Linked DNA regions of Notamacropus eugenii. Each later gene encodes a partner of the first gene's protein in a complex. Links are inferred from orthologs where the notes say so. Each region holds a gene or a part of one and is shown on either strand. Other genes may lie near its edges.

What was found. Proteins that work in one complex are often made in the same cells at the same time.
Region 2: the proteins of SART3 (region 1) and USP15 are in contact, whole or in part, in a crystal structure (PDB 5JJW), measured with the Homo sapiens proteins. The link is inferred for Notamacropus eugenii from reciprocal best matches to the Homo sapiens genes SART3 and USP15. Residues at the interface, in NP_055521.1 of Homo sapiens: Ser438, Ser439, Lys440, Glu443, Gln490, Arg493, Glu494, Trp496, Asp497, Met500, Thr501, Ala505, Trp511, Tyr514, Arg533, Cys537; in NP_001239007.1 of Homo sapiens: Ser23, Leu24, Asp48, Trp50, Gly121, Met122, Phe123, Val124, Lys125, His126, Lys128.

What each region holds. Positions count from the first base shown.
Region 1 is NC_092875.1:23,490,430-23,497,992, reverse strand, and holds the start of SART3 (squamous cell carcinoma antigen recognized by T-cells 3), read right to left. Parts: upstream 3,018-7,563; 5' UTR 3,003-3,017; coding exon 2,709-3,002; intron 1-2,708. UniProt on the Homo sapiens protein: U6 snRNP-binding protein that functions as a recycling factor of the splicing machinery. Promotes the initial reassembly of U4 and U6 snRNPs following their ejection from the spliceosome during its maturation.
Region 2 is NC_092874.1:239,034,316-239,041,989, reverse strand, and holds the start of USP15 (ubiquitin carboxyl-terminal hydrolase 15), read right to left. Parts: upstream 3,005-7,674; 5' UTR 2,894-3,004; coding exon 2,805-2,893; intron 1-2,804. UniProt on the Homo sapiens protein: Hydrolase that removes conjugated ubiquitin from target proteins and regulates various pathways such as the TGF-beta receptor signaling, NF-kappa-B and RNF41/NRDP1-PRKN pathways.

The sequences.
Region 1 (7,563 bases):
AACTAACCAGAGTTCCTTTACAAAGAATAAAAGTAAAAGTTTTCAGAGTAACAAGCATCAGGAACAACTTCTAGGGGAGAGCTTTTAACTTCAAATTAAAAATCATATGGTTATCATTATAATTAAAAAAGCACATTGCAGCCAGGGGGAAGAACCAACATATCATGGTATTCATTATAATGACCACATGATAACATTTGGGAAAAATGAGCCCTACCCAGCTTGACCTTGTTGAACCTAAAAAAGCAGCCTGGCTGTCAGCGAGGCCACAGCAGGGAGGATTAGGAAAGACCAGCTCAGTCTGCCTATGCAGCACTGGTCAGATTATGGGACCTCTCAGTGTTAAAGGCTCCTCAATTCTAGAGGGATGGAAATATGACAGGGTTCTTTAAAAAGGTGCTGTACAAATATAAACTGATGTTTCTCACTGAAAGATACAGCAACAAAGCCATGGCTCGTAAGGACAAAATCAGAAGTGTTTTTATAAAGCAATAATTTTTTTAATCACACCTCTACTTAATTTTCTCCTGATGGGATACACAAAAACTTAGAAATAAAACTTAAAATAGTAACATTTCAGAGCCAGTTACAATCGCAGTCCTCTGGAGGTCATTTAGTGCCATCTTCTTGCTTTGCAGACAGCTGTGGCCCAGAGTAAAGTGCCTTAGCCAAGGCTGCACAGATACTCAGAGCAGAGCTGGGATCGGAAACCAGATGTTCAGGGCTCAAAAATCCAGAGCTTCTTCGGGGTCCACTACAGAGAGGAGACTCACCAGCTCAGTGTGGTGACAGAATTCAATCTCAGTCTTCTAGTCCACAGTCATTTTCATTTCACTATATAATGGGATGGGGAGGTGGTATATGAGGTGCACTCCTGTATGACTGGGGAGGTCCTTGGATCTACCACCACCTTGTTATGTATGCAGACAGATATACACATACGGCCTTAGGAAAATCACCAATAGACTCAATTTTTCTCATTCCTAAAATTTCAGGTCTCTTTAAATTAATTACAACATCTATGACTATTTTAGAGCAAGAAAGGTCTCTGTGTAGATGGACATGACAAGTGACAGTGTGGTCCAATGGTCACATCCTGGCTCTGCTCCTTCCTCCCTGGGTCCCTCCTCCCCTGCAAAACAAGGTTGGCTGGACCACATTCCCTTGGAGATCCCTCCCTTCCACATCTGGGATGCTGTGTTGATGCGATGAGAGATGGCCATCTTGAGATTCATTAAAATGAGGCACCATGATCACACCACACACATCAACATCTAACTAGTAAGCACATGTACATTCTCCTTGGACCTCCTCATGCCATGTCAACAGCCAAACTAAAGCCATGGGAAGGTAAGAATTAGCCAACGGGTGAGAGAATTCTGACCAAGCTAGTTCCTGCTCAAGCCTGAGAGGAGAGGGACAGTACCCTGGAACTCTAGGAAGGAAACATCTCATTGGTCCAACCAACTCATCAAGAGGGCAGGGAGGTCAGACAGCCAAGGGCAATAAGGCTGCTGACTGCGCTGGGCTGGATTCGCACGCCGCTGGAACACTGCCAGGTTTGTTACTCTCCGCAAACACCGACGTGCTCCTTCGGTAACATGTAACAAACGAGAACAGATGAATGATGAGGTCTCGTCCAGCTCCCCCAGTCTGTCAGGAAGCCTGTCCCGGAGTGTCTGATCGCGGTCTACTGTCTTCAGAGACGGGAAGGACCAGAGGAGTGGAGAGCTAGGAAGGCAAAGCCCGGAGCACACAGACTAGAGGCCCAAGGCTACCTGGATAAAAGGGCAGGTAAGCGCAGCCTGGGGCGGAGGGAGAGCCCTGCACGGGCCAGCGGCTTCGGACGTGGCAGGCCTCCCATGCAGGGTCAGCTCCCCATCAACTCAACTCGCTTCATAATGTAAATCTACTGGTCCGAGACCAGTCACCCAACGGTTAGGAGCGTTGGAATGGCCAGGTTTGACCTTGGAAGGGCTGAGATGCAGGCTGCACGGTGGCCGGCCTTCTTCCAGCCTGCTGGAGGAGGGGCAGGTAGGCGAGGTGAGGAGGACGAGGGCGTGTTCAGAGACAGAGGACGCAAAAGCAACAACAATGCCCTGCAGGGGACACAGCGCGAGCCTCCAGCGCCTGGTGGCTTCTACATTCACACTGGACGGCCCCCACGTCTTCACTTCCTCCCTGGGCCAAAGAGGCCGAGGCCGTGGGAGTGCCCCGACCCCGAGCACACCAGCCTTCTAAAGAGCCGAGCCGCAGGGAGTGTGGGGCTGCTGGGACTAGAACTTGGAACATTACCGACCCCTAGGCTGGTAAACCTGGCCCCTTCCTGCCTTTCCAGTCTTCTTACTGGATGATGTTCCATCATCACCCAAGACCCTCCTCCCGACTCCAGGCCTGCCCTCCGGCCGTGCCCCCTACCAGGCCTGCCCTCCCTTTTTCCCCCTCGTCTCCGATAGGTCGTTCTCGTCCCGCTGATCCCAAGGGTATGCGGTTTGGTCCCCCCACCGGAGGAGGAGCTCCTCGAGGGCGGGGACCCCGTTTCTGCCCGCCCCTCCCCACGTCCTTCGCCTAGAAGGTCTGTCGCACGTGGGTCTGGAGCGCGCGGGCGCGCGGGGCCCACTGCGCGTGCGCGAGGCTCCGGAGCAACAGTCCCACAACGGCCGCCGCACCACCCCCTCCCCAGCCCCCGCCCCTCCCCCGCGGCGCACCTGCTCCTCCAGCCGCTGGATCTCCGCCTCGTTCTCCTTCTCCTCGTCATCGTCGTCCTCCTCCGCCGACGAGCAGCCCAGGTCCTCGTCCTCGTCCTCGTCGCCGCCGTCGCCGCCCCCGCCCGAGTCCTCCGACTGCGCCTCGGGCTCGGGACGCCCGCGCGCCGCCGCCACGGCCAAGGCCGCCGCCGTCTCCTCGTCCTCCGCCTCCTCCGCCGCCGCGGCCCCCGCCCCCGCCGCCGGGGCCTTCGCCCGGGGCCCAGAAGCGGCCGCCGCTGCTGCTGCCGCCGCCATCTTGCGCCGCCCGCGTCTCTTCCCCGCGAGCCCGACGCCTACGACGCCGTGACGTCAGCGCTGACGCCGAGGCTGCCCGGGCCGCGCCGGGTCACCGTCCGGCCAGGCCGGGCTGTGAAGCTGCCGAGGGGCTGGGCGGCCTCGGTGGGGCGCTTCACCCAGCCAGCCTCCTCTCGGGCGAGAAGGGACCCCTGCTCTCCGCGTCCGTCCCGGCGCGACGAGGGGCAGGCTTCCGGGGTCCTTTGGACAGGAAGTGGGGGCCATAGAGGAGGTCGGGACGGCGGAGGGGGCGGGACGTGCAGGGGCGGGCGCCATCTTGGGAAGGACAAGGGCGGTTTACCTCCTGGTCCCTAGACCTGCGTGGGGCGCGTGCTGCCGCAGGTGCGCCCTGGAGCCCGAGCCCGCGCTGCCCCTCTGACGCGCGTGCGCGCCGGCCCGTGCTCCGCGCCGCCGGCTGGTCCTAGTGCCGACCCGGGGCCTGGTGCGGGGGAAACTGCCCAGCCCGAGCCCCGTGACCAGGAACGAGTCAAGTCCCCACCCCACCTGTCCTCGTTAATTAAAATGACTAGTCCTTAGAGACTCAGTACGGCCCGCGTCCGGAACCGTGGGGCTGCTTGCTGGAAGGGGCCTGGTGGCTGTCCGCGTCTCCCATCTCCGCACCTTTGCACCGACCTTCCTCCGTGCCTGGCATGCCTGCCGTCCTCACTTCTTCCTTAGAAGTTCAGTGCGAATGCGGCAGGGCAGCGAGGGCTGTTCCCTTTTAATGTGGAAAGTGCTGCGTTTGACCCTTTTGATGCCTGGTGTCACCTGCCAGGTCAGGGAATGGAGGGACCGTGATTAAAGACCAGGCTGACCCAGCCAGACGCAGGGCGCTTCCTCTTACAAAGAAAGGCCAAGGCCATGCAGGGGACCAAATACACCTTCTCAGTTTATCGCCTGCCTCGGGAAGCTTTTAAGTTTTCTTGGAAGCAGCCAGGGTTAAGTGACTTGCCCAGGGTCACACAGCTGGTGTCAAGTGTCTGAGGCCAGATTTGAACTCAGGTCCTGATCTCAGGGCTGGTGCTCTATCCATTGCTCCACCTAGCTCTTGATGTACACGCACACACTACTCTCTTTCCCACTCTATACATGTATATATGTATGTACATGTGTATATAAATGTATTTATATATACACACATATGTACATATACAAATGCACATACATGTGTAAGGAGGATTGGTCAGGACATTTCCCTAAACTCAGGTCATGTTTAGTCAAAGAAAGTAAAGGGCAGATAACTGAGGTAGTGAAGTGTTAATATTAATTTAAACTAAATGGAAAAAAAAGCCTATCTACTGCTCTGTTGCCACTTAGGAAGTATGAAAAAGTTTCCCTAGTTGAATTGGAAAGGAAGCTTGGCATTGACTGCAGAAAGCTAGGCCAAGCCCCTGGCAGCCCTAAAAAGAAAGAATCCACCAGGCCTGCCTATCAACGGAAGGGGAACTCCAGTTCCATGAGAGCCATAGGAAGCTACAAAATGCAAGAGTATTTAGGCATCACTTTACTAAAGCACACAAAAGACTTGGTATAAATAGCTCCGATTACAAAGTGCTCCTTGAAATAAAAACTTAAGTAACTGGAGAAATATTCAATGCTCATGGCTGGACCATGTCAATGTGATAAAAATGACAGTAATACAAAAATTAATTTACAATTTTCATGTTAATCAAATTATCAAAAGAACACTTTACAGAACCTGATAAAATAACAATATAATATCAAGGGAAATCAAAGAGTTAAGGATGAAGAGCCAATCTATTTTATAAAGCAGCAGTCATCAAAACCATCTGGTACTGATGGAAAAATAGACAAAGGAGAATCGGAAACTATAACCCAGGGTTCAATAAACTGGAAAACATAAATTAGTTCAGAAAAAACTCCCTCATCAACAAAAACTGCAAACTGTCAGGCATAAACTGAAAGTGTGACTTTAATATTAAAGATCATATTGGAAAGAACTTAGAAGAAAACGGATCATAGACCTTTTCCAGCTAAAGATGTCTTCTCAATTGACAGAAGGAATCAAAAACGTTAATGTTATATAAAATTGAAAACCTGCACAAACAAAATATATCTAAGTTAAGTGGTAAAACAGGAAAATATGTGGCATCCAAGATACTTAGACAACACACATATACACGTACGCTATTCCACAAGTCATGGTAGTATTAACAAGCTGGTAAAGCTTCTGGCTCTAAACATAACAGAGATGCTAAAGCTTAAAACTGCAGCAAGATTTGTGAGACAGCCCTCTCCAACAGAAAAGTGATTAAATGATAGGAAGAGTTCTCAAAAGAAGAACAAACTATTACTAACGACCTGAAAGAATGCTCTAGATCACTAGGAATAAGAAAGGCAAATCAAGACAACTGAAGGTTCGCTTCCCACTCGACAGACTGGCAGAGGACCAAAGTTGGGAAGAGTCGATGCTGGAGGGGTTTCAGGACAACCGGTACTTTAGTGCATTATTGAAGCTGCAAATCCATGCCACCAGTCTGGAATTAAGCAAATGAAGTTACTAAAATGCCCAGAGATTCTTCCATAACGGCAGCCATCCCACCGGGAAAGTCTCCACACACCCCAAAATATTGACATCAGCATTTGGGGGTTAGCACAAAGCTGCAAAGTAGATGTTCATCATCTGGACAATGGCTCAACAAATTGTGCTATGTGAATGTAAATGAAAAGAATGGGCCATAATAAATGATTCCCTCGGGACGCCCCTAGCTCTTCCCTCTGCACATGAGGGCTGTTTCCAGGAAGTCACTTTGACTTATGTCTGATGGAGGAGAAGACATACGGATGACCAAGTATCTACCATAACACAGGCAAAGCAGGGAAAGGGTCTCAGAGGGACCCTTAAAGCATTAAAGTGCTAAACACAGGCACTGCTCATGTGAGTATATTTATTGGAAGAGAAGAACATTCCTGGATGAGAGAGTTTTAAAAATGAGTGTTTGGAAAAGCATTGTACCTTGATAGGGGCTTGGAGGGGTGAAGGGAAGGGAGAAAGAGGAGAAAAAGGATGGAGAGAGATAGAAATAGAAAGAGAGGAGGGGAAGAGGGACAGAAGCAGAATTAGAGATTCATTTGTTACACCTCACCAGAATATAAAGAAAAGGTTTATACCAGGAAACCCATCTAGGCAATGAGTCAGTAAGGAGATTCACAGTGGCAGCAGAGGACAGGGGATAGTGTTGGACCTAGGATGACCCAGGTTTAAATCTTGCCTCAGACACTTGCTGGTTGACCCTGAGCAACTCAGTTAACCTCTCTGAGCCTGTTTCTTCATCTATAAAATTAGGGGGCTGGACTTGACCTCTAAAGGCCCACTCTAACCCTGCTCACTGCTCCCCACCACCACCACCACCACTGCTACATACATACTATAGAGTTTTCCCCAACAGAAATTTCTTGAGGACAGAAAATGTTTGGTTTGACTTTGCATCCCCAGTGTCTAGCACAGTGGCTGGCACACAGTAAGTATGTAATATACACTTAATGATTGGCTCACCTTAGAAATCAAACAGTTTATGAGGTTCTTAACCTGAGGTTCCTGAACTTTTATATATGTATGTATGTATGTATATATGTATACATACACATATACATATATATTTCAATATAATTGACTTACTTTGTAATCACGAATATGATGTTATGCACTAAAAAACATTCTGAGAAGGGATCCATAGCTTTTACCAGACTCATTGCCAATGGGGTCCATGCCACAAAGAAAGTTAAGAGCCCCTGGCATAGTCCATGGACATCTTATATTTTACAGAGGAGGAAACTGAGACACAGAGAGAAGAAGTGGTCTGCTTGAGTGAGGTCAGACTCAGAATCTGACCCAAGTCCTTGGACTCCAAATCAAGTTTTCTTTTTCCAGGAGAAAAGATCTAGAGCTGCAAGGGCCGTTGGAGGCTGCCTGCTCCAACTCCCTCTTTTTTTGCAGATGGAGAAACAGAGAGCCAAAGACTGAGTGACTCTCCACCCTGTTGGGTCACCACAGCCTGGCACAACAGAAAGGTACTGGGATTTGAGCCTGAAGCCCAGTCCTCACATTTCCTGGTTGGTGACCTAGGACAAGCCATTCCCACTGATGGCCCTACTTTCCTCCTCTGTAAAACATGAAGGTTGGGCTACAGGAGCTGGGAGGTCCCTTCTTGTTCTGAATGTGTTTGCTCCATCAATCACATGCCAGAGTGAAGGACTGGGGACAGAAACATAGAGCAAAATACCAGACAAGATAAGGACTAATGGATTTCAGAGAAGAAAGAATGTGCAAATGTAAAATATTTGGGGGTCTACCTGCCAAGACAAACCCAGGAACACAATTGAATACAATTACAAAACACTTCACACAAATAAAGTCAGATTTAAACAACTGGAAAAATATCACTTGCTCATGGATAGGCTGAGCTAATATAATAAAAATGACAATTCTGTCTAAATTAACTTAATTTTTCAGTGCTATGCCAATCAAACCACAAAAAAATTATTTTATAGAACTAGAAAA
Region 2 (7,674 bases), on another chromosome or scaffold:
TTTGTCTACAAACCTGTAGACAAGATCTCCCCCCCCCATAGGAAACCTTAATCAGGGGTTTGAAAAGTGCTATATAATATGTTATCTCATTTGATCCTCAAAATAACTCTGTAAGCCAGGTGCTATTATTATCCTCATTTTACAGAAGAGGAAATTAAGGCTGAGAGAGGTTAAGTGATCCATTTAGGGTCAACAGCTAGCTTCTGAGGCAAGATTTGAACTGTTTAAAAGAAAAATATCACTTTAATTTAAAAACAATGAACCATGTTACATTTCAATTTAAAAACAAAAACTGATTAATACTACTACATTATCATTAAAAAAAAGCAAAACTCTTTTTTCAGTACTTGGCCAGATTTCCTCTGCTAGACTACAGTTAGAATATAGCCCCCATTTATAAATCAGTCAGGTCTCCCAATATCTACCACAACATATACAATTTCAGCCCCTTTTTGCTTTTCTTTAATTAAAAGTGAAAAATGATGCAATTCATTTACTGCATGATCGAATTTACCTCTAATACCACATCTTGGCCTCACATTCCTCAGTGGTAATATAAAAGGAGTTGGACTACATGATCTCTAAAATTCTTTCCTATTCTAAACCTCTATATATAAGGAGAAAATGTTCTCAGTAACTTTATCATAAAGCAAAAGCTTAACAATTATAACCTTTAAATAAAAATGGGCACATGCATGACAATAGGTATACTGCTCCTAATAAGTGTCATAGATTTCTGACTACAGTATTAAAGCACCTGCACTTTCATTTGTGTACATGTTTCTTCTACCAATCAAAGACTGCAATTCCTTCATGAGTTCAGAAATTGGCTTCATGAATTGCTGTAGCAAAAATTCATCACACTTGGCCAATCTGGCAAGAAGCCTCTGTGAGCTTAGCTAGGTTGATCTTTGGTCTCTACTAGATTTTATCATTAAATGACATTACTAAAAAAGCTGAGGTAAAATTTCAAACCTTGATACACTAGCTTCTGTTTCAAAGCCTAAATTTTCATTATAAGGCAATGTCTTCTTTAACACACAGTAGGACAATTACTGACCACATACTGAAAGAACCATTGCGCCAAGGTTAAACCTGAGTAATCCAGATATGCTCTATTTCTCCAATGATCGGTAAACTTCACACAAGAAGATGAACTATAGAGATTACTAAGAGGCATTAAAACTTGCTTCTTCTTTGTTGTAATCTCACAATTCATTTAAATGTTGAAGGTACATGCCCCATTAAAGTACACAGCTGGTCAGCCAATAAACATTTATTAGGCACCTAACCCAGGCTCTTGGCACTCTGCAGAAGCTACTGAGAAGAAACTACAGCAACTGAGGAAAACAAAATCATTCACTCAGCCCTACAAAATAATGACTTCCAGAAGGCAGGCAATAAGCATTTTTTAAAAAGCACTCACTATGTGCTAAGGACTGAGGATACAAATCCAACCATAAGTCAAGACAGGCTTTGACATTAATGCTTAATTTTCTTCAAACTTTAAATAAAAATCAATCAGAAAAAAAAGCTTTTGTACACTAGCTCCTTGAATTTAGATCGTCTTTTCCTGCATGTAATGCTTATCGATGTGCCTGGAACACAACTGGCTATTAAAGTTTATAAGGGCTTCCTGGATTACTCAGCAAGACCTGAATTCGAGTCTGCCCTCAGATACTTCCTATCTGGGTCCTTAACCCGTCTGTCGGAGTTCCCTCATCTGTAAAATGGGAATAGTAACAGCACCTTCCTCCCAGGGTTGTTATGAAGTTCCAGTAAGATAATAATTGTAACGTGCTTAGTACAATGCCTGACGTCCTTGGTATATAAATGGTACCTATAGTTATGATTACTGACTAAATAAAGCAACCCTTCTTACACATAGCCACATTTACACTTTTAGCTTATTTAGCAGATAAATGTTATTTCGTTTGCTCCAGCACTTAGTACAGTACGTCGAACCACAGCAGGAGCTCAATAAATGCTTACCAACTGATTGACTGTTTGGGGATATGAAAAATTCCACTCCTTGGGATGGAATCACCTGCCTACCTTAGTTGGGTTCTTAAGTAATCTAACTCTAGAGCTTTACCCATACCATCAGCAAGTGAGTTCATCTCCCACGGACTTATCTTTTTTTTGCAGGGCTCTCTTATCCCCTGAGTCAGGAAGGTACGGGCTGAAATTCAAAGCGAACGCCCCCCCCACCCCCCTTCACCGCTGCTCCTGCTGCATGACAAGCTCCCTGGGAAGCCCGAGACCACGTGGGGCCTCCACGATCCCGACTCCGCACTACTCCTCTGACAAGGACCGGGAAACTAGGGGCTCCTTCCCCTCCGGCGGAGCCCCGACCCATGCCACCTGTGCGGCCTGCAGCCTGTCCGGCCCGGAAGGATGCGAGGCTCACCAGACAGGCAAACTTGGCGGTCGGTCCAAGGGGAGGAAACGACGGAAAGAAAGGAAGAGAAGCTCCGGATCCGGGCCGGATGGGACCTGTCCACCCACGCCCCTTCCCTGTCCTCCGCAGGGTCTCACCGGATGAGGGCCCGAGGCTGGGAGCGGCTCGGGAGGGCGGGACGCAGGCAGCAGCAGCCCCCACCCCCCCTCGCGACCTCACACCTCCAGCCTACCCTCTGACCTCCCCGCCACCCCCCCACCAGCGCTCCACGGTCCCCGATCTGACCTGCCCCCCGCCCCCCGCACCTGTCACTCAGCAAAGACACCAGCCCCGGCGCTTCCCGCCCGGCTCCCCCCCAGCAGCCGCGGGCGCCTCAGTCCCCGCCCCGCCCCGTCCCCCTCACCAGGTGTCCCCTTTCCGGAGCGAGGTTTTGAGCAGCGTAGCGATGTCGGACTGCTGGGTGTCCAGATCCGCCGCTCCTCCCTCCGCCATCTTCTTCCACTAGCGGCAGCGGAGGAGGCGGCGACGGCGGCAGCGGCGGCGGTACCGGCGGCAGCAGCGGCGGCGGCAGCGGCGGCGGCGGCACCGCCCCGGAGCATTGTGGGAACACGGCGTCCCGCGGCCCCGCCCCGCCGCCGGGTCGGCAACCTAGAGAGACGTAATGGGGGAGGGGAGGATAGGAGGGGGAGGGAGGAGGCGGAGGAGAGCTTGGCCGGGGAGCGCGCGGGCGTCCTTTGCTGCCCCCTAACGGCCAGTGCCGAGGGCAGCAGCGACAGCACCACCACCTTGAACTTCATTGGCTCTTCCCAGTGCGTAAATGCTGCCTCTCCGCGGTCCGCCACTGGGAGCCCCTGCACTCTCGTTTTATTCGTGGCCCAGTACCGCCCGATCCTCCTCGCTTTCGGCGCCGGTGTCTTCCCTCCCTTCTCTCTCCAGGGACCAGATGTGCGCGAAACCTTATTTTCATGACAACTCTAACGTAATAGGGTGTGTATGTATGTGTGTGTGCGCCTGCGCGTGTCTGTGGCCAGGTGTGTGCAAAACATGACAACTTTGGCTCATAGAAATTGTATGTACGTATGTGTTTGTACTCGTGCCAGTGGCCAGATGTGTGTGAAACATGACAACTCTGAGTTAATAGGGGTTTTGTGTGTGCTCGTATGTGTATGCGCGCCAGTGGCCAGATGTGCAGGATACGTGACTTTAATAGGGGTTGTGTGAATGTGTGGTGTGTATGCACGCCAGTAGCCAGATGTGTGTGAAATGACTGCCTTGAAAGGGTGCGTGTGTGTCTATGAGTGTACGGAGCCAGTGGACAGATGTATGGCAAACATGACAGCTCTAACTTAATAGCAGTTGTCTGCATATGTGTGTATACCCACGCCAATGACCGATGCGTGCGAAACATGACAACTCTAGCTTAATTGGAATTGTGTATGTACGTATGCGCACACAGATGGCCAGATGTACGCGAAACTTTATTTACCTGACAACTTTGGCTGTAGTGTGTGTGTGTGTGTGTGTGTGTGTGTGTGTGTGTGTGTGTGTACATATCTGTACCTGTGCAGGCAGAAGAGCAGCTAAAATATTGCATGACAATTTCATTAGCTTCTTGACTCATGGGTTTGTATCGCAAATACTCTTTGCCTAAGCTACTTGAAACCCAGCTGGAGCAAAAGAGCATTGGAAATTAAAACCCTTGACCATAATGCCGGAACTGGTCGCTCTTCAACTCTCTCCCTCTACCTTCCTACTGGCACCAACTTGTGTGCTATGTAGGGACGGTAATAGGATTCCTTTAAATGATATATCCATCCTCTCGTTCCCCCCAAGTAGACCCCAAACAGCTATAGAAAGCATTTGGCTGCTTCCTTGCGAATGAAACGTTTGACCTACAATAAATTTTGCGCAGATTTTAAAGGTAATAAAAGAAACCCGCATTTACCCTCATGTCAGTGGAGAGTATACCCATTATCGAATAATTAAAAAAGATTTTAAAAATCATTAGATCTGAGGATTTGGCTAATTGAAATCCAAGTAAATTCAGCTATTTTAGCAAAAGATCCAGGGTGGGAATAGAACACAATTGCATCCTTAAAAAAAAATCCAAGGGCTTTGCTAAATGGAATTTTATAAAACTACTCCGAGAGAATCCCCTTTACAGTAAGATGAAGCAATCAGACCATCCAATATGTTGCCTTGGTTATAGGGTCAAGTTGATACTGATAAATAGCAAAGTGATTACCCTAGTTTCACTATCTGTAAATAAAGGCTATATTGTTTTTTAAATATTTTTCAGGGATATGGCTAAGCAAGGTTAATAACATAATTTTAGTGAAACATTTGATTGTAGAAGATCCAGAATATTAGTTTCTTCCATTAAAAATTCTATACTTCTTAACGTAAAATTTGGCAGGTTTCAGACCAAGCCAGAAAAGCTTTTAAGTGTGGATGGGCCAGATTGACTAGATGTCATCTGAGAAACAGCTCAGCTAAGTTTGGAGAAGCTCATCAAAAAAGGATTGGTCACCAAGGGATACTTTTTCTTTTGCTCCAGCAACTCATGAAATTCTTTTAAATATATTAGATGGTTGGGGTCTATGGGACTGGAGAGTGGTTATATCCACACTGATGAAATCTTATCTTTTTTTTTTTTTTGCTCAGTGACCTCACTTCTTACCTAATAATGGGAATTTTCCCCATTGAGCTACCTCTGATTTGAGAGCATAAAAGCACTTTCTAGTCTTTAATTTAGATACTAGAAAAGTAAGTAGGTCCCCAAGTGACTCAGTAGCAAAAAGAAAAAAGTAAAATAAACTAACAGTTTTAACTGTTGACCTCTTCAAAGAATGATGTCCCCACTATTTGTCAGCTCTAGGAAATATGTAAAGTGAAGTGAGATTCTAGAATTTTTTTTGTTTGCTTTTTTATGGTCACCAATGACAACATTTGTTCACTGGATCAACAAACTTTTAGTAAACACCTATTGTGTTCATAGTGCTGGTCTAGCTACTGGGGGAGATAACAAAGTTTATATTAAAAATGGTCTTTGATGCTCTGGAGTGGTTTCATATGGGGATTATACAGACTGAGATACTTACAATTCATTATATTCTACATTAAGTACATTTGAAAAGTATAAAATGAAATATTATGTGAGGTACTTGGGAAAAGGTTCTTACAAAGACAGCTTGGAGTAGTGGTAAGCATACGGACTTGAGAGTCAAGAGAAATGTGTTCAAATCCCCAAGGATAAATCACTTAGCCAGACTTTAAACTGGGAACCTGAGGACTTCACTTCAAATCTCAGTTCTGACATTTACTACTTTCATGACCTTGGGCAAGCCACTGCCTCCCTTTGATCCTGAGTTTTCTTATCTGTAAAATGTGGTATACACAAAGGTCCTTTCCAGCTTTAAATCTATGATCATATGACCTCTTTCTTCATATCCAAAATAGAAATACCTATATAAGGTGAGTTGCACAAAGCATGGCCAGATATTCTGTGTCTAGTTTTGATTGGCCCACTTTGGGACTATTTCCAGATGTATTGACTCATTGCTGAAAGAACTTGCTGTTTTGGTATGATGTGGAAAACCCTGAGTGGTCCTTTTGTCTTCTACTCCTTCTCCAAAATAGCAAGGGATTGAGGTGCAACATCTGTTAAAAGAAATAGCTTCTAGATTGTCCATCTTTGACCATGATGGGTCAAGGTGTAACTCCACTGCGGGGTGGGGAAAGGACAAGGTCATCTACTCCCTACCAACATGGTGATCCCAACAACATGGAAGCTGGTGCTTGGAGGACCCAACTACGTGAGTTTGCTCCTGGGCCTCTGGCAGCCCCTGCCTCTCTTGTGTTTCCTTCTTAGAACAGGTGATTTTATGAGATCAAGATGAGACAGTGGCATCTGAATTGTTCACTCTATCAGGTGGGGAGGACCATTCCATGCCACAGAATATCACCAAGTGCTTTTACCAAAGGGTCAACCTAAGGCCACAAGCAGCTGCAAAGCACCACAGGGTCAACTAGAGGCATGCAGAAAATATCTGTTCTCATTCTGCATAATCCATGTTACATTTGTGTTACCTGCCTCATGAGGTTGCTGTAAGGGTCAAATGGGGCAATGTGTATGAAATGTGTAGTGAACTTCATATGCAATGTGTATTAAAAATACTCTTGTAAATGTTAGGTATTTCCTTCTTCATATGGCCTGGTACGTAGCACTGTGCCTTGTATATATTAGGCACTTAATACATGTTAATAGAATTGAATTGAATTAAATAAGACAACAAAATATGATGTTGGACACTGGAGAAAAAGCAGAAACATTTATATTTTTCTTCTGTTTTCTGTACCAATAAAAATTATCTTCAGACTTGGAAAAATAGATCAAAACCTATTAGTAGAGAGTCTAGAACCAAGATGGATAAGATCATATTTGGCAGGCCTCAGTGAGTTCAGATCACCTGGATGAGGTGAACTTTCACCCAAGGGATGTATGATGCAGTGTAAAGACCACTGATTTTGGAGTCACCAGACCTGAATTTGGATGCTAGCTGTAATTCTTACTACCTGTATGACCTTGCACAAATCACTTAACCTTTCTGGGGTTGAATTTCCTCATTTGTAAAATGGGGGAGTTGGACTCAGCTCTATGATCCTATAGAGAGGAAATGGCTTGAGGGAAGGGTAGGGAAAGGAAAAGTGTAGGGGAGAGTGTGAGAGAGGAAAGTAATCCAATTGGGTCTAAATTTAGAACAGAGGTGTTAGTAAGGAGGCCTACCCACAGGTTAAAATGTAACTGGGAAATATTTAACAAAATAAAAATACAATAGAATATTGATAATGTTAATATGTGGTTTTGTAAGGCAATATGCGGCCTTATATTTGGTTTCATGAGTTTGACATTGATGGCTTATGGATAGTATAAAAGTTGGAAGGACAGAGTGATATCAAATTGGAAAGAGCTTTGAATCAAAAAGATTTTAAACTTAAACTTGTAGGAATAGGGAGCCACTGAAGATTTTTGATCAGTGAAATGATTTAAGTAGTTCTACTCCTAAGCAAGATTATTCTGGCAACAGTATTCATTTATTCAGCAATTGTTTAACTGGAATAAACGAGATACCATATATAAAGTGTTTTGCAAATCCCCAAAATACTATATAAATGCTGGCTATTGTTGCAGCTACTGTTACTGCTACTATTATTACGACTAGAAGGTTTGTCATTTCCTTCTTCGGCTCATTTTATAGATGAAGAAACTGAAG